3 linked regions of the Arabidopsis thaliana genome follow. The protein of the gene in region 3 interacts with the protein of the main gene of each other region in a pairwise test. Each region holds a gene or a part of one and is shown on either strand. Other genes may lie near its edges. The genes, in order: AT5G22310, AT2G46550 and AT1G12650.

Evidence for each region.
Region 1: the proteins of AT1G12650 (region 3) and AT5G22310 interact in a two-hybrid assay, tested with the Arabidopsis thaliana proteins (one large-scale study listed by BioGRID).
Region 2: the proteins of AT1G12650 (region 3) and AT2G46550 interact in a two-hybrid assay, tested with the Arabidopsis thaliana proteins (one large-scale study listed by BioGRID).

The regions. Positions count from the first base shown.
Region 1 is NC_003076.8:7,380,857-7,388,708, reverse strand, and holds AT5G22310 (trichohyalin-like protein), read left to right. Parts: upstream 1-2,875; 5' UTR 2,876-3,363; coding exon 3,364-3,792; intron 3,793-3,875; coding exon 3,876-3,968; intron 3,969-4,043; coding exon 4,044-4,967; 3' UTR 4,968-5,126; downstream 5,127-7,852. Other genes in the region: AT5G22320 (Leucine-rich repeat (LRR) family protein), read left to right, coding at 1-534; NIT4 (nitrilase 4), read right to left, coding at 6,945-7,093, 7,180-7,461, 7,561-7,852.
Region 2 is NC_003071.7:19,109,506-19,117,391, reverse strand, and holds AT2G46550 (uncharacterized protein), read left to right. Parts: upstream 1-3,185; 5' UTR 3,186-3,400; intron 3,401-3,919; 5' UTR 3,920-3,934; coding exon 3,935-5,128; 3' UTR 5,129-5,431; downstream 5,432-7,886. Other genes in the region: AT2G46560 (transducin family protein / WD-40 repeat family protein), read left to right, coding at 1-106, 183-356, 465-688, 849-982, 1,083-1,304, 1,395-1,573, 1,712-1,822; AT2G46540 (fiber), read left to right, coding at 5,711-5,789, 6,152-6,234, 6,670-6,705; AT2G46535 (uncharacterized protein), read right to left, coding at 7,072-7,143, 7,239-7,694.
Region 3 is NC_003070.9:4,304,008-4,311,831, forward strand, and holds AT1G12650 (rRNA biogenesis RRP36-like protein), read left to right. Parts: upstream 1-1,783; 5' UTR 1,784-2,021; intron 2,022-2,051; exon of another isoform or gene 2,052-2,161; 5' UTR 2,162-2,175; coding exon 2,176-2,280; intron 2,281-2,361; coding exon 2,362-2,489; intron 2,490-2,589; coding exon 2,590-2,656; intron 2,657-2,756; coding exon 2,757-2,809; intron 2,810-2,900; coding exon 2,901-2,955; intron 2,956-3,039; coding exon 3,040-3,114; intron 3,115-3,206; coding exon 3,207-3,327; intron 3,328-3,438; coding exon 3,439-3,485; intron 3,486-3,570; coding exon 3,571-3,666; 3' UTR 3,667-4,000; downstream 4,001-7,824. Other genes in the region: LPLAT1 (MBOAT (membrane bound O-acyl transferase) family protein), read right to left, coding at 7-70, 181-266, 353-761, 863-1,083, 1,203-1,258, 1,364-1,659; AT1G12660 (thionin-like protein), read left to right, coding at 4,936-5,236, 5,487-5,551; AT1G12663 (thionin-like protein), read left to right, coding at 6,962-7,247, 7,389-7,450.

The sequences.
Region 1 (7,852 bases), on a different chromosome or scaffold from region 3:
GATGATGAAACCTTTGATGCCTATCACAATAAATCAGCAGAAGAGGAACAATCTAAAGAAGATCGAAAACGCAAGAAGAGCTCTAAGAGAAATAAGTCAGAAGAAGAAGAAGTCAACAATGAGGATCACAAAAGCAAGAAGAAGAAGTCTAAGAGCAACACAAATGTAGATCAAGTTGAAACAAAAAAGAAAGAAGAACATAAAGAGAAGACAATCCCAAGTAACAATGATGATGATGATGATGCTGAGAAGAAACAGAAAAGGGCTACTCCAAAGGAGGAACTCGATGCTATAGATGATGCTGAAACCTCTTTCGCAGAAATCTTTTCCCGGGAAAATGTGCCAAAGGGTTCTGAAGACGGTATTGAGAAGAAGAAGAAAAGCAGCGTCCAAGAGACAGGTTTAGTAAAAGTGATAGATACTAAAGCTAACAAGAAGAAGAAGAAGAGTGAAAAGAAGCAAAGCAAGAGTGTAGTGATTGATCTTCCCATGGAGGTTGAGATCGGGTTAGGAGGAGAGTCTAAGTGGGAGTAAACTGCAACAGAGGGAGTGTTTTACTCTTTAAAAGAAGGGACAGTTATGTCTGTAACATCCAACGGCTAGGGAGTATTTTGATATGGTTAAAGAACATAGGAGAGGAAGAAAGTGGTTTCGATCTTCTTTATAAATTGTTTTCTGCACTGTTGAGAAGCTATATCTAATTTTATAAAATGTTTGTGTCATTGAAACCAAAACAAAAAAAGGAGAATAGGTCCCACCGAGACTTGAACTCGGGTTACTGGATTCAGAGTCCAATGTCCTGACCACTAGACCATGGGACCATTCTATTCACGCTTTAATATTTGTTATTTTTATTGTGTTAGTTTCTAGTGTGTAATAAAAAAGAGAAATAAAATGATACAAGCTAAATGCTAGGAAAAATGTGGAAACACTAGTTTGGACAATGAGAAGTTTGAATTTTGATTTCAGAAAAGAAAACTAAATTAATTTTAGTGCAGACTATTCCGATTAGGTGTAAATGTGGTCTACATTTGTGATATATTATGAAGACGTAGAGAAGAGTTAGAAATTTTTGTCATCTTCTTTTGTTTCCTATGTTTGTTTTGTAATGCTAATGTTAAAACCGATTTGCTAGTTCAAAATGTCCGTATCTACCCGTATTGAATGTATGTAATTACCCATAGTATGTATTGTATATTGTAAACGATATTTTTTTAGTTTAGCTTATTTGACAAAAAAGAACGTCGTTTTTAAAGTAGAGTTTAGATTGCTGCTGCAAGAGTAGTTAGTATATTGAATAAAAGTATAGTGATATGACATTTTTGTCAAATTCTCCATGTGATATGTGAGTAGTAGTCAAAGACTCAAAGGAATAAAAGAGAAACAGACTAGAACTCTTTTTAATCTGAACCGTTCATCTATGTTGTATTTTTCTTCTATCATCGTGGCACTTCTCTAGTCTTCACACATTTTAAAATTCTTTTTTACTCGTATTAATTTATTTTTAAATTAGTAATATGTTAAATTATTTGTAATGGAGTTAAAAGAATCTGGAGGATGGATTTGATTTGACTGGCAGAGAAGGCATCTATCTCTTTGGGATGTTCCATAAGTATTTACTATTATTTGTACTCAGCATGTGCCTGTCTTTCATAATTCATATGCCAATCACAAAACTTGTGTTCAAATTAGTATAGAGACAATCATTGGTTTTGAGTTGTGAATTATGATTGGATAGTAGTAATCGTTAAGGCATCTAGGAAATTTTATGTCTGATTTACATTCAAAAAATCCTATATGTTTTAGAGCAGCAATATTTTTTTTTATGAATCCAAAAATCTAAAACCATGTATTCATTGTGTAACTATGATTGTTTAATGAGAGATTTTTAGCAATGATTGAACATCTACTATATATATTAGTGTCAAAATTGTCAAAGTTTCGATGTGCGACAATTCCAATAACTTATAACAACTGTCTGTAAAATTTTAGTGTATTGATCTTAATACCTACCTCTCTAGACAAAAGCCATAAGTTTATAAACACAATCCTAAAACATAAAATGAAGAACTATTCAATCCTAAACGAAAATGATTTATAATAATTATATTTCTGTTTGTGTTTTTGGATTGTGTATAACAAATATTCGCATTTAAACAAAAATACTATATATTATCTTTCTAAACACTATTCAATCATAATTGAACAATCTGCATGATATAAATCGTCAAAATCAATAAAAACTAATCAATTTTGCATTAAAAATAAAAAAACATCATCTAATTCAATACAATTTTTTTTCCTAAAACATAAGAAAAAAGGAGTATACTTTCTTGGCTCATGTATCTTGCCTTGTCTATGCATATTCATTTATTTCAAAATATGTCACCCATATTCATGTTTGTTGAAAACAATGCTACTTTATAGTAGTACGTAGTACGTTGTCTTTAACTCTTTTGACGTTCATATTATTTCCCAAAAAAAAAATACTAATCAAAAACGAAATGAGTCGGGTCTTAATCCGATCAAACGAGGTTAAATTGTGACCTAAACCCGTGTTCTGTTCGACTTTTGGCAAGTTCTAGAAAACACATGTTAGCTTTTGACGTTAGCATAGAGGTTAATGCTAGTTTTGATAATCTAGTACGTTGTCTTTATTTGATGCTCTTCTTTTTTTCTTCTCCAGAAAAGCCTACAAAAACTTAATAGAATCCTGTCTAATCCGATCAAACCAGGTTAACTTGTGGTCTAAAGATTCTAAACTCTTTAGAAAGCACTAATTTGGAAACATGGATTCCATGATATCTTTTTGCAAGTCATTGTTGCATTAATGAGTTAGCGGCAACAATATTTGTACTCATTGATTATGAAATTATTTTTGTTAAAATTAATGACGAAATTGGACAACATCGGTTCATGAACCCTCCAAAGAAAATTTACATTGCCCAAATAGACAACGCACAAACACAAAAACACCACACTGTCTCCATCTTTCTTTCCTCTTCTTCAACATCTCTCTTCTCCCAAGAAAATAAAACACAATTTCCCAGATTCAAAACTTCTTTTTCACAAATCACAACGTCTTCAAAGGGATCAAGAATCTTATTACTCTTCTCTTCTTTTGCTTTTAAGAAGAAGTAAAAACATCATCTTAACTTTCACTTTTTGTATTATCTTTCTCTTTCACTCACTTTAAAGTCTATTTAGAGATTCAAAAACAAAATCTTCCAGAAACTGCTTCTGATCTTAGAAGATGACTCACTTCTCCTAAAAAGCACCAATTTCAATCCTATTTTTTTCTCTTGTTTTCCGGCAAGATTTGGTAAAATTTTGTGTTCTGATTTGTTGTTTTGAATATCAACTATGGAACAACGGAAGAAAGGTTGTAAGATCAGGAAGAGAGGTGGTTCTTCCTCTTCTTCTTCTTCACTTGCTCGTCGAAACCGCTTCAAACGTGCAATTTTCGCCGGGAAAAGAGCCGCTCAAGACGACGGTGGCTCAGGAACTCCTGTTAAGTCCATCACCGCCGCTAAAACTCCAGTTCTGTTATCGTTTTCGCCGGAAAATCTTCCTATAGATCATCATCAATTGCAGAAAAGCTGCGTGTCGGCGAGAAAGCTAGCTGCGACGCTGTGGGAAATCAACGACGACGCAGACCCTCCGGTAAATTCTGATAAAGATTGCTTGAGAAGCAAGAAACCATCGAGATACAGAGCGAAGAAATCAACAGAGTTCTCTTCCATTGATTTCCCGCCACGATCATCCGATCCGATTTCTCGTCTAAGCTCAGAGGTTAGGGTTTGCTTCAGTTTCAAGTTTCCTCTGTGTTTTTTTTCTTTCTGAAATTCTAAGTCTGAAAAATCAAAATTGCACAGAGAATCGATCTCTGTGACGATATGATTCGTAGAAGATCAACAAATCCTCAGAAATTAAACCCAATTGAATACAAAATCATTGGCGCAAACTCGGTATGATTTGCAATCTTACCCTAAAAACACTTTTCTTGCGGAAGAAGAAAGGTCTGATTCTTAATTATATTACAGGTGAAAACTCGTTTCAAGAATGTCAGTGACGGATTAACAACGTCTAAAGAACTGGTAAAGGTATTAAAAAGGATCGGTGAGCTCGGAGATGATCACAAGACAGCAAGCAATCGTTTGATCTCTGCTTTGTTATGTGAACTAGACAGAGCAAGATCTTCACTAAAGCATCTAATGAGTGAATTAGATGAAGAGGAAGAGGAGAAGCGGAGGTTGATAGAGAGTCTACAAGAAGAGGCGATGGTTGAGAGAAAACTCCGGCGAAGAACAGAGAAGATGAATAGAAGATTAGGGAGAGAGCTCACGGAGGCTAAAGAAACAGAGAGGAAGATGAAGGAGGAGATGAAAAGAGAGAAGAGAGCTAAAGATGTTCTTGAAGAGGTTTGTGATGAGCTAACTAAAGGAATCGGAGATGATAAGAAGGAGATGGAGAAAGAGAGAGAGATGATGCATATAGCTGATGTTTTGAGGGAAGAGAGAGTTCAAATGAAGCTTACGGAGGCGAAGTTTGAGTTCGAAGATAAATACGCCGCCGTGGAGCGGCTGAAGAAGGAGCTCCGGCGGGTTTTGGATGGTGAAGAAGGAAAAGGGTCGTCGGAGATTCGTAGGATTTTGGAGGTGATTGATGGTTCTGGTTCTGATGATGATGAGGAGAGTGATCTTAAGTCCATTGAGTTGAACATGGAGAGTGGTAGTAAATGGGGTTATGTTGATAGCCTGAAAGATCGTCGGAGATTTGATGGCTCCGGCGGCGATGATGATGATGATGATCCGGTGGAGAAGAGATCAGTGATTGTTGAGAATGGTGAGAGAGATGAGTCTTTGAAGACTTTGAGAGATTACATTGTTTCAAATGTTAGATGTATTGGTCCTTCATCGTCAGAGCAGTGGAATCATCGGAATTTACCAAGCTCTGAGTTTGTGTAATCACCACCGCTAGCGCCGGCGAGGAAGAAAAAGAAATCATTTTTTTTTATAGTATATAATATTTCAGTATTTGTAATTTATTCAATTTAATTTGAAATACAAAATCAATTACGGAATATTTTTTGCCGGTATATCACATTTTTTCGTCTACAATGGTTTAACCTCAATTTACTACACATATCCAATCAAATCATTATTTGCATTTTCTATCAAAATATTCCGTTTTTATGATCGAAGTTTCAAGTTTGTAATCAAGTGATTTGTCAGAATTTGAAGTCTATTACGGAACTTAAGTGCTTATTTTAGAGAACAACAATTCATTACGTACGAGTTTTTATGTTTGTAACTAACTCTAATTAGACCATAATGTAGATGTAGAGAATAAGGGGAAACCAAACAAATCATGCTTGGAATGAATTGGAGGTGAATTGTACATTGTATATAACTATTAAAGAACTTATTTATTGGTGGCATTGAAGATATACACATGGAAACGTTGATTTGGTGTAAATTAAATCATAATGATTAGTACAACAATGAGAATAAGAACGAACAATAATGAGATATATAATTGATTCAAGAAAGGATTAGTTTAAGATTTTGAATCAAAAACGAAACAAGACATTTTCTCTATTATTGTCTAGACATTTGGACAGCATCGTTCCATCTTCCCATGTGATTTTGTCTCAACTATATATCCGTTACGTTTTACCCTATTTGGGAATATTTGGTAACAATTCAACCAAAAAAGTTACAAAAATTAATAAGATGACATGAACAATAACGAACAATAACGGATCTTCATTTTTCGATCATATATACACATGATTAGGTAATAGGTCAATTCGTGTGAAAGATATATGCATATACCAATCAGCCTTACTCTATGTCCCCCACTCAATATAATATTTTAGCTTAGAACCATATATATATGTACCATTAAACCAAATCAAGGGGTTTTGGGTTCCAAAAGTTTGTCTTTCTTTTTTTGTTTCATACTTTTACATAGTTTAGGGATAAATCATTAACTCGTATAACAAAATAAAACTACTAAAGTTGAAGCATAATATAGTGCCACTAGGCTAACTAATTTTCTCTCATTGAATGAGAAAGGTCAAATGCTAAAAACATTCGCATTATAGGGAGATATTTTGTCAGAGTGATGATCTTATCAAGTTCGTGTGTGGTTTATCTCTTTGTCTCCTCCTTTGTCTGTATAATAAACATTGATATATACAATGAACCTACCTACAAAATCACTATTTTGAAGACATTGATGTTACTAATATAGCAACTAGCAAATCAACTGTCAGTGGACAGATCGTCTCAAACATGGGCAGACTTTTCGTTTCGATTTTGGTGTTACCAAATAACACTTTGAATGTTAAAAATATGAGTTTTCCTATATATTAATATACTTCGTATTTTTATCCCAGAACTTGATTACATAATTTTTAAACCTATAAAACAGAGTTTTTAAAATTCCATATTTCGGTTTGTTTCGGTACGAATGTGTTGCTTATCCTCTATGCCAAACCAAAAAAAAACAATTTATATGAATGTTTTAGGTTTTCACAGGGTGGATACAAACAGAAAAGCCTAAGCCCATTCCAAGAGACAGGGAAATAAATAAGGAAACAAGGCCCAAACCCATAGAGAGTGTTGTGTTGCGGAAGAGTAGAGAGAATTGGTAGCTTATTTGTTTTGGCCATTTGGGTTTGTTTTTCTTTCATCTTTTTCGTAAAAATGACTCATCTTAATCCCTAACAAGTTATTGAATCACTAGTTTCATGTACAAATTTGAAGAACATGGAACGAGCAGAACCAAGCATAGTATAAACGAGGAATAGAAGACAACACTCAATCTAACGGTTTAGATTTTTTATCGATTTCAATTACAACACAAGTCTTGAAGTTTACTACAGATAAACTTCATCAAATTACAGAGAAAGTTTGGGTCTAACAAATGATCATTTGTTAGACGGATTCATCTTCCATTACCTTTGACGTCTTGAAGCTGACCGCTTTTCTCGGATGCTCCCTTATGTTCAAGCTAAACACTTCAGGCCTCGAGTAATGTCCGACCACATCAAAATCAAACTTGGCTCGTGCTATGTCCCCAAGATCTGTTAGAGATTTATAGGATATGATTAGTTAACTTTTTGTTCAAGAATGAATGATGATGATTAACAAATGTTAATTAATAATATACCTAGATCAGCTGTGATAAGAGCTTCTCCTCTATAGTTTGGTCCAGCTAAAACAATTCCCAAAGGTGAAATGATAGAGCTTCCACCAGCGCAGACAACAGAGTCCGGTGTTAGGCTCTCTTCTGAACCGGAAAACATGTATTCCGGCGGAGAAGGATAGTCTTTCCGACGACAAAACTGGTTAGCTGACAAAACAAAACATCCACCCTCAAGTGCAATATGAGTCATTGATGCTAGCCAAGTTTCTCTTGAATCAGCAGTAGGTGCACAATAAATCTCAATGCCTACAAAAAAAAACACAACAGTGTAACACACCAACATGATCAAATCACAAGCAACATACTGATACATTGTCCCTTTGTAGAAGCTAAAGAGAGACTAACCTTTGGCATACATTGCGGTTCTCAAAGAAGGCATCCTATTTTCCCAACAAATAGCAGCACCGATTTTCCCAATAGGAGTATCGAACACAGGGATGGTTGATCCATCTCCAAATCCCCAAATGCAACGTTCAAGAGCTGTAGGCATGAGTTTGCGGTGCTTACCTAAGAACAGACCTTGTGAATCGAAGAAAAGAACGGTGCAGTATAGCGTGTAGCCTTCCCTCTCTATCACACCCATAACCAAGTATACTTTGTACTTCTTGGCCATTAACGCTAATCGTTCCACTTCAGG
Region 2 (7,886 bases), on a different chromosome or scaffold from region 3:
GGCCACTGTTGGAGTTGTTTCTCTTTCCAAGCCTGGGAAAGCTGACAGAGTTCCTGGCTACTCTGGGTTAGGAGCGATAGCGGATCCAGGATCATTTTTTACCCAGGTCACACATAGCTAAAAAAAAAAAATTGATAAGCCAAATGTATATTTTCTCATAACATTAAATAAAATTCACGTAGATCCGCCGGTGGTTAGGAGTCTCTGGTCTAGGTTGGGAAACTCAAGAAGAATTTGAAGAGTTTGTTGATCCTCCCCCAACAGTTGAAAGTGTTATTACGAGAGCATTCTCTAATCACCCGACAATGCCCCTCTTCTTGGTTGGCTCAAGCAACACTCACATATACTTGTGGGAGGTTTGTGCCTAAACACTTGCACCATCTGTTTTAGGAGTTCGGAGTAAATGATATGACATTTCTTATCTATCCTTGTGGATCTTATAATGCAAACCTTGCATGTTACAGTTTGGAAACGAAAGAGCTACTGCAACTTATGGTGTTCTTCCTGCTGCAAATGTTTCCCCTCCTTATGCTTTGGCGTCGATATCAGCAGTGCAATTCGGTCCATTCGGACACAGATTTGCTAGCGCTGCACTGGATGGAACTGTATGCACTTGGCAATCAGAAGTTGGAGGAAGGAGCAATATTCATCCTGTTGAATCATCTCTTTGCTTCAATGGCCATGCATCGTACGTTTCATGATCCTTGAGTCTATAAGTTCTTGTTCACTAATATGCTAAAAACACATAAGTTTTAAATTATTGCTGTCAGTCATGAAAATTACCATTATTTCTCTGTTTCTTGTTCTATTGGCTTCAGCTATTCTGTTTCTGTTATTTATGGTTGCAGAGATGTAGGATATATTAGTTCGAGTGGATCCATTGTTGCAGCTTCAGGATATAGCTCAAGTGGTGCAAATGTCGTTGTGTGGGATACTCTAGCTCCCCCTTCAACCTCCCAGGCATCTATCAATTGCCATGAAGGTCCTCCAATAATTTTTTTTGTAGAAGTGTTAGTATCATTTCCCATAATCACAACTCTTAACAAGTTTTTTTTTTGTTTTGTCCCTTTTCTTCTATGAAGGTGGTGCACGCTCTATCTCGGTATTTGATAATGACATTGGTAGTGGTTCAATTTCTCCTATGATTGTGACTGGTGGCAAAAATGGTGATGTCGGTTTGCACGATTTCCGGTTTATTGCAACCGGAAAGATGAAGAAGCAAAGGAACCCTGACGGTGGATCTTCGACTGATGGAGATCAAAACAAGAATGGGATGCTTTGGTATATACCAAAGGCTCACTTAGGTGCACACCCTAAAGCCTATTTTCACCTTCATATTCCAATTTTACCGGAAAAATATCCTGAAATTTGATTGACATTGATGCAAATTTCAGGGAGTGTGACAAAAATAGCGACAATCCCACGCACAAGTCTTTTCTTGACGGGAAGCAAAGACGGAGAAGTAAAACTTTGGGATGCGAAAGCTGCAAAGTTGATTCATCATTGGCCTAAACTACACGAAAGACACACTTTTCTGCAGCCAAACTCGAGAGGCTACGGTGGAATCATCCGGGTTAGTGAACCAAATCACCTAAAGCATAATCCTTTCATCGTATTTTCTCACAGTGGCTTTGGTTTCTTAGTAAACCAGAATCAAAGTAATGTCGGTGTATGTAATCGAATTTGGGTATGTGTTACGAATTTGGTGTAGGCTGGGGTGACTGACATACAAGTTTGTCCGAATGGATTTATAACGTGTGGTGGTGATGGCACGGTGAAGTTCGTCAGCCTCGTAGATTCTTCCTATGGCGATGCTAAATAAAAAGAAGATACATTTTCCGGGAAAGTTTTGCAGTCGAGAAAACGAGTTATTGCTACCTTGCGTGTGTTTATTGAATACGTGATTTTTTGTGATGTAGTTTTTTTCTCTATATGGTTTAATATTTGTGTATATACAAATATATTAAAGATTATGAAGCAGTAGAATCTTGAGTTGACCATAATCCAGATTTTAATTTATCTTTGACTTGACTTCAATCTATACTCGGAAATATCATCTATTTATCTTTGACATAGTTTTCGTTGACTTTGTTGCATCAGATTTAGACCAGATTAAATCGGACTGATTCCAATTAGATTGGTGTTAAGTGTAGTGCAATAGAACCGAAAATAAACATTATCAAGATTTAGTTCGTTATTGTAATTTTTTTTCTTTCTTTTTGGTGTTGGTTTGGTATTAGCTCGATATAGTTTAATAAGATTATGAAAAATTGACGGCTAGGAACCTGGCCACTATCGTATTACGTAGTGGAATATTATCTTATGGTTGATTATTAAACTGCTCCATAATTTGTGTTGTAGTCTTGTAGACGAAATGATATGAATCATCAAAATGTTTGATTAAAACCCCATTTGCCAAGAATTATTCCTAAAACTATTAAGTTAAGGCAAAGGTCCATTTCATTAATAATTATTCTAAAGAAGTTAGTTGTATATATAGTATATATATAGACTATGGTGTTAATTATGACTGAATATATTAGTGCTCACATAAAGCATCTTATTAGAATATCTTAGATTGCTTAAATAATTATTAACCACGTAATAAATAAATCTCATGTAACACTATCAATTGGAGAATAATGGAGAGAGACAATTAACCATAATGACTTGAAGACACTTGGCTTCACCTAACATTCAATTTCCTAGACGAGGCCACTATTTACATTCTCTTTACCTAACTTTCAGAACTACATTAAACCAAATTGACATGTAAAAAACCTAATTTTATATTTTCAACATGTCTATTTACCATTGGCCACTTTATTACTTAAATGAAAACGATGTCATAAAAAATATTAGTAGACCCTAACTTGAAATTTAAAATTTAATCGATCATTTAAAAATCAAAATCATTCGACGCAATTACTACAAGATTTTTATGTTTTAACCAAACATTTATGACGTAATCTACCATCGCGCGTAATCGTATAGTGATAACTGATAAGATAAAAGGTCTTATCCGTTAAAAAAGGAAAGGGAAGCCTTTTTTAGATCTTCTTTTTTGTCGCCACGTGTAATTAATATCTAATCGAACGGCTGTCAGGTGAAATCTATGGGCAAATCTGTGGACTCAAATACTCATTAACATAACTATGGGTCCTCTCAGAAAACGGTGCCGTTTTGCGGAAGCTTGCGTGCTGAATGACACAGAGACTAAGAAAACGATAATAAACTGCAAAATGATTCAAAAGATTTTAATCGAAAGCAAACAAAAATTCTCTGACAATCAGAAAACAAAAAAAAATCAGAACAACTCTTATCTTCTTCACGAGACTGACTAAACAATCATAGATTTTTCCGTTTTTTGGGTTTCGTCTGGTGTTACTCTCTCCTTCTGGTTAGTTCTTTTTTTCCGAATTCTTACAAATTATTGCGGTTTCATTAAGATGAATTATGATTTGGATCACCATCCGTTGTTTTTGTGTCCGGTTTTGATTCTTAGGTCTAATCGCGTTTCATGTTTTTTTTTTGTGTTCTTCTGGGTTTGATAATTTTATAGTTGAAGTTTTATGAAATTTGATTTCAATTGCAAATAATGATGATTTGTTTAGTAAGTTGATAAATTGACAAAGAATCTGGCTTTGGTTTTTGTTTGCTTCTAAGAAAATTAGGAACTAATTCTTCAATTTACCTGGAAAGCAAAACATATCAGATTCTCTAAAAAGTAGTTTTGTAATAAGCTTTTTTGGTGATGGATCTGTCGGCAATCAGAAAGATTCTTCCTTTGAAATAAATGATTCATATTATTTTTCCTATAAATAGATTCAAAACGGTTAATAAGATTTTGCTAAATCTACCTAATTTCTAAATCACATTGATCTTGAATTGAATTCTCAGTCTCTTGTCTTATCTTTAGAGTTATGGTGAAATAATGGCAGCAGCTGAAGCAAGAGCAGTGTGGCAAAGAACAGTTAATCGTTGCTTTGTCCAAGAAGACGCTAAAAGAGCTCCCAAGTTAACTTATTGCCAATCATCTTCATCCTCAACTGCTTCTTCAACTAAGCAAGTGGAAGTTTCTGGTTCTTCTCCTCGAGTTTCTGTTGAACCACGGACTCAATCATCTTGTGCAGGTTTCATGCCTCTTCCTCGAAACCCGAATTTCCCTGATCTGTTACCCCACAACACCAGACTGTGGAGTCATCCTCATCATCAGTTTCAGGTGAATAAGAAGCAGCCATTGGAGGATGAGGTTAACAATCAAGGTGTATCTGAGAAGAAGTCTGAATTGGGAGCTGGAGAGAAACAAGGAAAGTCTTTTAATTCCGAAAGCTTTCAAGAGTTTATAGAGTTGATGGAGACAAGGGAGAGTTATGGTTCAACTGGGTATGATGAGTCCTCTGAGAAAAAGTTAAGTGAGCTCTCTTTTGATCCTAGCTCGCCGTGGAATCTTCTCTCGAGTGAGAAAGCTGCACCGTGGTGGCGAACTACGGATAAAGACGAGTTAGCTTCCTTGGTTGCACAAAGATCTCTAGACTATGTTGAGAATTGTGATTTACCAACACCGCAGAAGATGAAACGATCTTATTATGGTAGTCCACGTGGTTTTGATTCTGATGGATTGAGAGACTACTCTGTCTCTGGCCAAACCATCAAGGGTACAAGCAAAGGAAGCAGCTGCAAGAACAGACCCGAGGCTTCATCTGAGTCTGATTTAAGCAAATCCGAGCTTCTAGAAGCACTGAGGCGTTCGCAAACGCGGGCTAGGGAAGCGGAGAATATGGCTAAAGAAGCTTATGCAGAGAAAGAGCACTTGGTGAAGATATTGTTGAAGCAAGCCGCAGAGCTTTTTGGGTATAAGCAATGGTTACAACTGCTTCAGCTAGAAGCACTTTACCTCCAAATCAAGAACAAGGAGATTGACAATAAGAACAACGACGATCCAGGGGTTTCCATCCCTTGTTGGAGCAATGGCAAAGCAAGAAAAGAGGGGAGAAAGAGAAGAAGCAAAAGGGGTAAACCGAATGGAGCAAAGTACGCGGTTGGTTTAGCATTGGGGATGAGTCTTGTTGGTGCTGGTTTGCTTCTTGGATGGACTGTTGGATGGATGCAGATGCTATCGTTCTAGTTTAAAGAGAAGAAAAGAGACAAAACTTCATCTTTTTTCTCATTGAACAGCTTGATGATGTTGAAATGAGTTAAAAGATTGGCTTCGAATCAGCTTTTGGATTTCGTTAAGGAGAGAATGTAAATTGTTGTAAGAATTTTGTTAATATTGTGTTTACTAGTTTGATCTTTTCCTTCAAAAATCATATGAAATTATCTTCTTTAATGTGTAAGTAAGTATCTTTCATGTTCATGTAATATCTGCATATATTAACTACTGTACAGTGTATATGATCTTTCTTTCATGTTCCTAGAGCTTCGATTTCTTGAAAATTTAAAATACTTAGTAATTTTTTACTGCTGGAAGCAGAATGAGAAAGAGAAAGATATACAGTATATATATTTTTTAATTACGGCAAAGGTGATTATAATGGGCCGAATTGCGAACATTTGGGCCCAGTAACCCGACCCGACCGGAGATGATCTTTAATTTCGTTTCAGGTGAGAAAATGGTTTACTCAGGAGCAACTATCAATCGAATCAGACATTGACGAGGAGCTTTGGTCGTAATCCGAGGAAGAGATTAAAATCGGAAAGTGCGAAAATGCCGGTCATGGAGAAATTGAGGATGTTCGTGGCGCAGGAACCAGTTGTGGCTGCTTCTTGCTTAATCGGCGGTGTTGGTATGAACCCTAATCTCAATCTTAATTCCTCACCGATCGATCGCATTCTCTTTCTTAGAAAAGGATTTGCTTTGGGATTTATCTAGTTTCTGGAATTCCTCTTTGAATCTATAGAGCTAGTTTGCTCGATTGTAATTTGAGAATATAGAGAAATGCCTGATCCAAATCTCTCTATTCGGAATCGTCATTTCTTTGGGTTGTCAAAGAGAGTGTATTTTAAGGAGTTGAAATTAAGCTTAATTTGGAACCATGTCTTCCATTATCTCCATGTATAAGTAGCAAAAGATTATGTCTTTCTTGAACATTAGCAAAAGGCAATTGTGTTAATATACATTTGCTGATGGATTCTCTTCATCTTGTAGGACTATTTTTGCCTGCGGTTGTGAGGCCTATTCTAGACTCTCTCGAGGCTTCCAAACAAGTTAAAGCTCCTCCACTTACCGATGTATGTATTAGAATATATTTATCTCTGTGGAAATTCCTTTTGCTGCTAAAATCGTCATCTATTTCCTATCTAATGAAATGTCTCTGATGTGGGAACTCTGCATGATAGTTGTTCTTAGTATCCGTGTAGGCGAATGTTTGGACGTTTCTTTTTTTTGCTATGTGATGTAGCCTATACATCATCTCGATGTTTTGTTCCTCCTGCGTCTTCTTGTGATTTGAGAGTTCCATCTTTGGTTCATCCATGCCTTAAAAATCTATGCTTTTCATCATTGGACGAGTGTCATGATCACATTTTGTTACTGCCAAAAATGGATTGGGCATAAAAGAGACTAGTTAGTTATCACATTGCTTAGTTATCCAACGCTTTCCTATATACTCTTTACAGGCAAACAAAGGCGTCAAGTATTAACTCAGATCCAATTTGCTTTTGCAGGTGATTGCTGGTGTCACAGGGAAGAAACAGAGTTAAAACAAGCAATGACTTCCCCTGTTTTCTTACATTCAGATGATCCCTATTCCTTTTTTGTCTTTTACTCTCTCTATTCACAATGAATAAGCCAGACTCATTTGTTTGTTATGAAACTTAATATAAAGGCATGTGTGTACACTCACTTTTGTTCATCACTTGATCAGATGTATTCATTTCTTAACAACAAATGAAAAAAGCTTGAAACTTTTCTTGCCATGGCTCATGAGTCTTAACAACATTATATATGCATATCACACAGATATTAAATTACAGTAAAATTGCTAATCTTACATACACTCTTAATAGCTCTTTTTCATCATCTTGATCCCTCAATAGATAGATAGATAATGCATATTGAAAACAGGCTTAAACACTTCCACTTCTCATCTTCTTGTTCTTCCATGGCATTGCTAGCTTCAATCCCTTGCATAAACTTCCCTGCATTTCCCCAACCAAACCCGTTTCAGCGAAAGACAAGACTTGGGAAGATGAAGAAGTTATGAAGAAGGAGCGGAGAAACACAAATACTTTACCCAAAAGTGAGATCCTTTAACAGAACCACCACCATGGTAACTCCCTGATCTGTTAAACTTCATGATCTTCATGTTGTTCTCGTTGATATTATCTCCTGCTCTCTGATTCTCCGACAGAAAGACATAATTACCCCTCACAACAACATCCCCTCTCCCTTTCCTCCTCAAGAACCTCAAGAGCCCATGTTTCCTCTCGGGCAAGGGCATTTGCGTGAACTCACCAGGAAGGAGCAAACGAGGTGGCAAATCAAGACACTTGGGGTAAGAAAGAGGACGAAGAGGGTGCTTGGGCTTGCCTGGTTGGTCTTCCCAACAAAACGGAACAGAGGCAAGAGTGTGAATCGGAGAAGCAAACACACGTGGACTCGCAGGCGATGAAGTGTACAACAACGATCTTGACTTTGCAGCTAACACAAGTGCAAGCTTCGCCTTCTCTTCTTCCTTGTCTCCTCTCATTTTTATGTCTTCTCTGTTTCTTTCTTTCTTCTTCTTCAGCTTAGTCTTAGGCAGTTTCTTTTTAGGTAGTGGGAGAGTGAAGAAAAAAAAGACAATGCATTAAATATATCTCAAATCATTTGTGATTATTAATGATCCAACGGTGGTTTTTTACTGTTGACTAGATAGACAACCATTCATAAAAGTCAATAC
Region 3 (7,824 bases):
ATTTACCCCGTGAGCCTGCGATCATCAAAGCTGACTGAACAAAGAACATCATATATCCAGGATACAGTCCCTGCAAATTGCATTAGAGGTAGAAGAAAAGATCAGAATAGAAATACAAATGTATGTTCCTCCATCATTGGAAGTAATTGAAAACATGAAAAAAAAAAATAGAGAACTCACATGCCAAACCGCGCTGACGGTTTGTGTAGCTAGTAACTGGAAGAAACCCGCTTTCTTTCCGTTCTGCACAAGTCTCTCATACACATCTGCATTTTTAAACATCATGAATAAGTTCACAGATGAACCGAAATTTCTGCTTTATAGGATTCATTAGTATCAGAAGACTACTTACAGTGACGGAGCCACGTGCTGACTTGTATGTTCCACACAAGTGGAATCTGAACCGCGCTCTTAGCTAGTTCAACACCGAGAATATCTACGTTCTTGGCACGGTCCCATTTGGGCTTTGGTGAAGCATCATCAGTCCAACCACTGAAACCCAAACCAGAGATGATAATAGAAGCCTCTGAAATTGACCAGATGAAGTAATACTTCCAACGAGCCGTGAATCCAGCCATGTATTGGTAACTAAATTTTCTCAAGAATCCCCATTCTTGATACACTGGTTCTGTGAACCGAGTTAACGGATATTGAGGCACTAAATAGAGATACAGAGCCATGCAAATCGCAGCTTGCAAAATAGCTCGGATTGTAGCTCCATAAGGCGATGGCTTCTTTCTTTTCTCAGTAGTATCCCAAATCTAGAAAGCACAAAGTTTACATATTCACAATCTAGTCTATTAAAACTTCAGAGATTCTTGATAATGATAAAAGCTCTCAAGAAGAAGAAGAAGAAGCTTACCCCTTTCCCTTCGGTCCATTCAAGATAATCTTTCATTTCATAAACAGGACCAGCAAAATGGCTACCACAACAAAGGCAGTAACCAAAGTACTCAATCAAAGACGGCATCTGAATCAATCTGTTTTTCTTCTGAGCTTCACGTAGACCTTCCTCCTTCAACATCCCATCATTGTAATTCATTGAACATGAGATGACTTTCAGCGTCAACACCATTAACGCTCCTAACACATGAACAACAAGAAGGGCAAGTTAAGAAGCTAATCACAATTACTACACATGAACAACAAAGAGCATCCAAATCAAAAGGAAGCAACTTTCAGATGAGGAAGGTAAGAGTTACCAGTAGAATCGATTCCTCCTTCTTTCCACGCATCACCACTCATATAAAACACATGACTACACACACAAATCACGAATTTGCACCATAACTAAATCAGGGTCAATCAGAAGGAAGACGATTTCTGCACTAATTCATAGCATAAAGGGTTCAGAATTTAGTACCAGCCAATAAGATAAGCGAAACCGAGGAAGAAAGTGATGATTCCACACTTGGGTCTATAAATCGCCATTGAAGCATATCCGATCGTCATCGGAACAAGGAAGTGAAGGTTGGAGGAGAAGCCAAAGGAGAGGTAAGAGAGGAAAGCACCTGAAGCAGCGGCATACAAGTGTTTACCGAGTCTACTCGGGACGATTCGACAAGCGAATGAAACAGGGATCGTGGCAACGAAACAGAGGAGGAATCGGAGTACGGCTACCGAAACTCCGATTGAACCAGCCATTGAACTCATATCCATGGTGTCGAAAACCCGTTTTTTTTAACTCGGAATGAGTCACAACGACCGAGTTGCTCCGGGAAGCTTTCTTCTGATCTCGCCGAATCTATAGATCGGTCGTGTCGTGTCGTGTGGTTGTTGGTGTCGTGTCGTGTGGTTGTTGGCTTTCTTTGTTAACGAAAGGTATCATGTAATAAACCGGTCGGTACAGTATTTTAAAACCAACTGAAATTGCAAAACCAACGGTTTAAATTAAATACCCTAATTTCCTCTTTTTTTCTGGTCTTACGATCTCTTTACTTCTCGTGAGTTCTCTCGTTTCTTCGCCGTTCGTTGTCCTCTTTAGCCGTCGTTACTTGATTCTACAGATTTTCTCTGTTCAAGTAAGTTTATGGTTGTGGTACTCTTACTCTGTTTTAGGTTTTTGTTTCTCGATTGTGCCATGCTTAAATTTTGATTTCTGTATGTAACTCTGTTTATGTTGGGAAATTTGCATCTTAAAGGTGTGATCTTTATTGATTAGGTTCACGTGTCGACATGAAAGGAGCTGGTAAGTTTGAAGGGAGCTCAAGTAAGATAGTTTTTGAGGATAGTGAAGAAGATGAAGATCTCTCGTGTTCATCTGTGTCTTCTTCAGATGAGGTTAGTAGCTTTAGAATAGGTATGGAACTTAAATACATTATTATTGTTTGTTGAAGCATCTGTTTTTGAATGTGGAATTAGGAAGAAGAAACAGAAAAAGAGTTAACCTTTGAGGAGATTCATAAATTACGAGCTGATGGGTCTAAAGCTGTTCCATGGAAACCAAATCAAGTGAAGAAAACAGGTCGTGCTCGTGCTAACAAAAACAGGTATACACAACATTGTTTTCTCTGGTTCTTGGTTTTTGTCTTTCTTTCAGTTGTTGGTTACTTTGTTAATCTTTGGTGTTTCTATTTGTGATGAAAACAGACCAATGGAAGTGAGTTCTAAGAAACCTGTGAGTCGTTATAGAGAGGTGGTTCACGTTCCAAAGAAGGTAATAAGTCTTAGCATTGAGAACATTTTGAATCTCTTATTTCTTCTTCCCAAGTTTTTTTATTTTGGAGTTGTTAATAGAGTTTGTTTGTTTGATTCAGGAGGTTCGTGATCCTCGCTTTAACCAATTGGGTGGAACACTTGACGTCGAGGGGTATAAACATCTTTGTCTTGTGAACTTGAAATTACTTATAATGCACTCATTGTTCTTGTTTCAGTGAACGTAAGTTTTGTATCTTCTGTAGGTTCAGGAAGCGATATAATTTCTTTTTTGAGGACAAACTTCCTGTGGAAAGAGAGGTATTATTTATTAAATGCTGAAAACGATATGGTTCCGATTTGTCACGAAGCTTTTTGTTTGATTTTCTGGGGTTCCTAAAACAGGAATTGAAAAAGAAGTTAAAGAAAACAAAGAATCCAGAAGAAATCGACGAATTGAAGAACCAGTTAACTTACGTTGTGAGTGATCCTTTCTTTACCTCTCCTGTTGTAACTCTCTGATCATTAGTTTGTTTACTCACCTTTAAATCTGTTATTTGTATATATATCAGGAGAAAATGTTGAAGTATGAGCCATCAACACAGAACAAAGGAGCAGCAATACTAACAGAACACAAAAAGAAAGAACGAGAAGCCGCAAAAGAAGGAAAAAGGCCTTACTATCTCAAAAAATGTATGTCTCCTGAGTCTTTTACTCAAAAGTCCCAAGTTTAGGTTGAACATTACAGTTTTGCGTTTCTCTTTGCCTACAATTTACTGAATCCTTTTCTCTTTTCTTATGCAGCGGAAATCCGAAAGCAAACACTCATCGAAAAGTACAACAGTCTCAAGGTATGTAAATCAGTTTTGACTACCAAAGTTTTAAATGTTTGTATGGAAACAGAATCACTGAATCAGTTCTTTTTGTACAATCCAGGAATCTGGGAAGCTTACATCGTATCTTGACAAACGGAGGAAGAAGAATGCAACAAAGGATCATAGGTTCATGCCCTATCGTCGAGCAGAGGAATAGAGATAAGCAGTTTTGCTTTAAGACCTGTCTCTTACCTTGGTCCATGACAAATTTTGTGGCGGTCTTTGTGATACTGATCTAAAATTCATGTTTGAGGTTTGAAAGCCAAATGCAGCTTTACATTTTGTTTTTGCAATTGAAAGCCAAATCGAATACAAAGGCTGCTTAGTTTGCTGTTGGTTCTGTGAAGACATGAGAGACTCTAGACCTTTCAGAGGGTTCAAATCTACATTACTTTTCTTATGTTACTTACAACTGTTTAATGTTTTTAAGCATTTAGTGTTTCATAATTCATACTGTTGGTTCTTTTCAAGATTGAATGAAAAATATCCGGAATCCAAAAAAAGGTCTCTAGTTTCGATATATATCGTAATATTACTAACTAATTTATGTTAAGAAATATCCGGAATCTAAAATAAGATTTTTTCTAGTAATTAATTCGATTTTTCAATAACCTTTTTATCAGCTACATTTCACCATTTTTAATGTAGTGTGTTTGAACATAGACGCAAATATCAAAAAGGAAATAAAGCACATTCATGTACGTAAGCAAGCAATTTATGTGTACACACATACACATGTTAGACATACGTTAAAATAAATGGTAACGTATATTTTATCATCATAATTAGACAGATCTACAAATCCTAAACGAAACTCATCTAGAATTTATTTCTCACTATGTCATCATCACACAAATACTACAGCCTGGTTTGTTTTTCAAAATTTTAGGTTGATTTTTTTTTTTTAATTGAAGTTTTAGATTGAAAATTTATTCAAAATAAACATTAATACTTTGAGTCATATATAGTTAAATACTAGTATATATTTTATTGATGAATGTCATTTAGATATATTACTATTTTAACATGCATGAATGTCTATGTTTACACATATGACATATCTAATTCACTTAAAGTCAGGTACATTCATGTATGTACAGTGACGAAGTACAAACAAATATGTACATGCTAGGTTAATGCGCGATTTTGTGCCATAAACATAGTAACATACAATAAAAAAAATCTCTTAATATATTTTGTATTTGTTTTTTAAATATGGAATCTCTAGATTCTAAATGAATTGAATTAGATTTAATTACCAACTTATGCATTGTATGAAAATGTTAACTATAACACAAAGTTACACAATCCCATATAAATAAACCTTAGTTACACAAACAAGCAATCACAATTAACAAACACTTTCCATCAACATTTCTAATATTCTCTGCCCAAAAAAAAACTCTCTTTGTACCTTCAAAAAAAAATGGAGGACAAAAGAGTGGCCATGTTAGTGGTGATGATGTTGGTGATGGGGAACATGTTAATTGAGGCAGAGGCTGTTATGTCTTTTAAATTATGTTACGGAGGTTGTCTTGTGGCGTGTGCTCTAATAGCGCCTCCGATTAAAAAACTTTTTTGTCCTTTTTTGTGTATCAAGGATTGTAAACGTCGACCTATGCTTTCTTTTGAGGCAAATCTAAATGAAATTGACCAAACTGGTTCTTACTGCGAACTCGGATGTGCTACCGATCGTTGTGTTTCATCCTCCTCAATTGATGATAAGGGTAAGTTTGTTGTTTTTGTTTTTTTTTCTCCAAGTTCTTGTATCAATAACGTTCATATATATATACAATTTAATCTTGTGGGTCTAAGGATATTATGTAAATTTCTCTGGAGTAAGAATGATGATTTTGTTTTGGGTGTAATTCTGCTATTAGTAAGAATGTTTGATGGTTTTTAAGCATTCAAATAATTTTATTGTGTGGATTCTAATTAATTTTCTTAGATTTGGTTGTTTGTTTTATATATGGGCAGATCATGTGGAGAAAGTTTCATTATGCGTGGATTCATGCTCAGAAGAGTGCTCCCACAAGAACTAAAATCGCTATTGATTTTAGTCTATGAAAATTAATCTCTAATTAGAAGATAGTGTCGTAGTTTGTATCGATTAAATATTCTCCACTGAGAATTTATTTCCTGAGTTGATATGCTTTGTGTTACGAGCAAGCCAATTGCAAATATATAGGTATCGAGGCATCCATCTGAAATAAAGAGACTTTCATTAATAAAGAAAAGGAATTGTTTCATAATAATATTGTGCAGACTCACCAACGTATTTAATTTAAGGTATGCATCTTGAATCTTATTCGATGAATCTCATTCCTATCCGTAACAAAATTTACAATTTTGATCATTCAAAAATAAATAAGTTTGAAAATTTAACCAAAATAATGTGTTAAACAGTTAAAAATACATCATGTGCATGTTTATTTGCCAAATGATTCAAAATTGAACCAACGCACACATTCTTACGCTTCGAAACCGAATGGTCACATGTGATCGTGATCGATGGAGACATTACGTATGTACGTAACCCTAATCAGATCAAAACTGATCAAAAATATCTTGTTTTACGAATATCTGTCTAGTTAGCTAAAAAAAACGTTGATATATCTTTCTAAGGTTTGGTTACCTTCTTATTTTCTCTTGAAAGCCATAATCCAGTACAAATGCTACTTAGTTTGCTCTTGGTTCTCTTAAGACATGAGAGACTCTAGCCCTTTCAGATGGTTCAGTTCTACTTTACTATTCGTATGTGTTACTTCATTTGTTCAATTTTTTGAATGCTAAAATATCCTGAATCCAAAATAAGATCACCTATATATGTTGCAATATATCATAATATTTATTTAATAATGTTAAGAACTAACTTTGTTTTTATATGCCAAGATTACTCGAAAAATATTCAAAGATCAAACAAACTTGTTCATTTATTCTGTTTAATTTTGTACTTCACTCGATGCAGAAAAAAAATATTGTTTGATTTCTTTTCTTCCAATTATTCTAATTAATACAACGATCTTATATGAATATATGATGCCATGTTGATCATTTCACCATTTTTAATATGGAGTGCTTGAACATAGATACATATCAAAAAGAAACTAAAGCAAATTCATGTACGTAAGCAAATATATACAAACAGTCTGCACATACATAAACATATATGTTAACGTATATTTTGTCATCATAACTAAACAGATCTCCAAATCCCAAACGAAAGGAATCTAGAAATATTAATTTCCCACTATGTCATCATTACACAAGCACTACAGCCTGATTTGTGGATGAATCTGGAAATGTTAACTAATATATAAACTTACACAGTCTCTATTTTAACAAGACATGATAACCCAAGCAACATTCACAGCTTACAAAAAAACACTTTCATAAAAAAAAAAGCATATCATCTAGAGAGAAAAAAATGGAGAGCAAAAGAGTGACATGCAATGTTGGTGGCAGTAATGATAGTGATGGTGATAGGGAACCTTCTGGCTCAGACAGCGGCTCAAAAAATCCCATTTAAAGAATGTTATCCAGCTTGTCTTGTGGAGTGTAAAGCTGGTTCAAAGTTTCCAAAGTATCTTAAGTGTCCATTTACGTGTACCAAAGAATGTCTTCAACAACCTTCTCCACCATCTGTTTCTTCAAACAATATCGATGAATCTGATTATTTCTGCAAACTCGGATGTGCAACTTATCATTGTGTTTCTCTTTCTTCCATCCAAAATCCGAGTAAGTTTATACTTCTTCTAAACAATTTTTACATTGTAAATCTTACCCATAACGGTGTTTACAAATCGATGACCATATATATATAGTTGAAATGAGATTGTAACGTTAAATGGTTTTGGTTGGTGTTTGTGTTATGGACAGATGTGGAAAGAGTATCAGCATGTGTGGATTCATGCTCAAACAAGTGTACCAAGAAAAACTAGAAGCGTTGGTACTAGGAGAATTCATGTGTGAAAAAAGGATCTGAAGACTGGGCCAAAAGCCCATTCATAATTTGGGTTAACTATTGAAATTTAATTACTAAAACAAACTAATGAATTATAGTACTTTCCTTTTTTTTTTGTAACTGTGTATCCTTTGGGCTTAAAGCCCATTCCCAGTTTGGGTTGATTAATAATATTTTATTATATAAAAAAAGATATGAACAAGTTTGTATAATTCAGTTTTTAAATAACGAATTTTTTTTTGGCCGACAAAAAATAACGAATTTTTTATTCAATATATTTTGCTACAAGAAATCAATTGATATAAAAGGAAAACAAAGCTGAGTTAAAAAAAAATCAAAGGAAAACAAAAG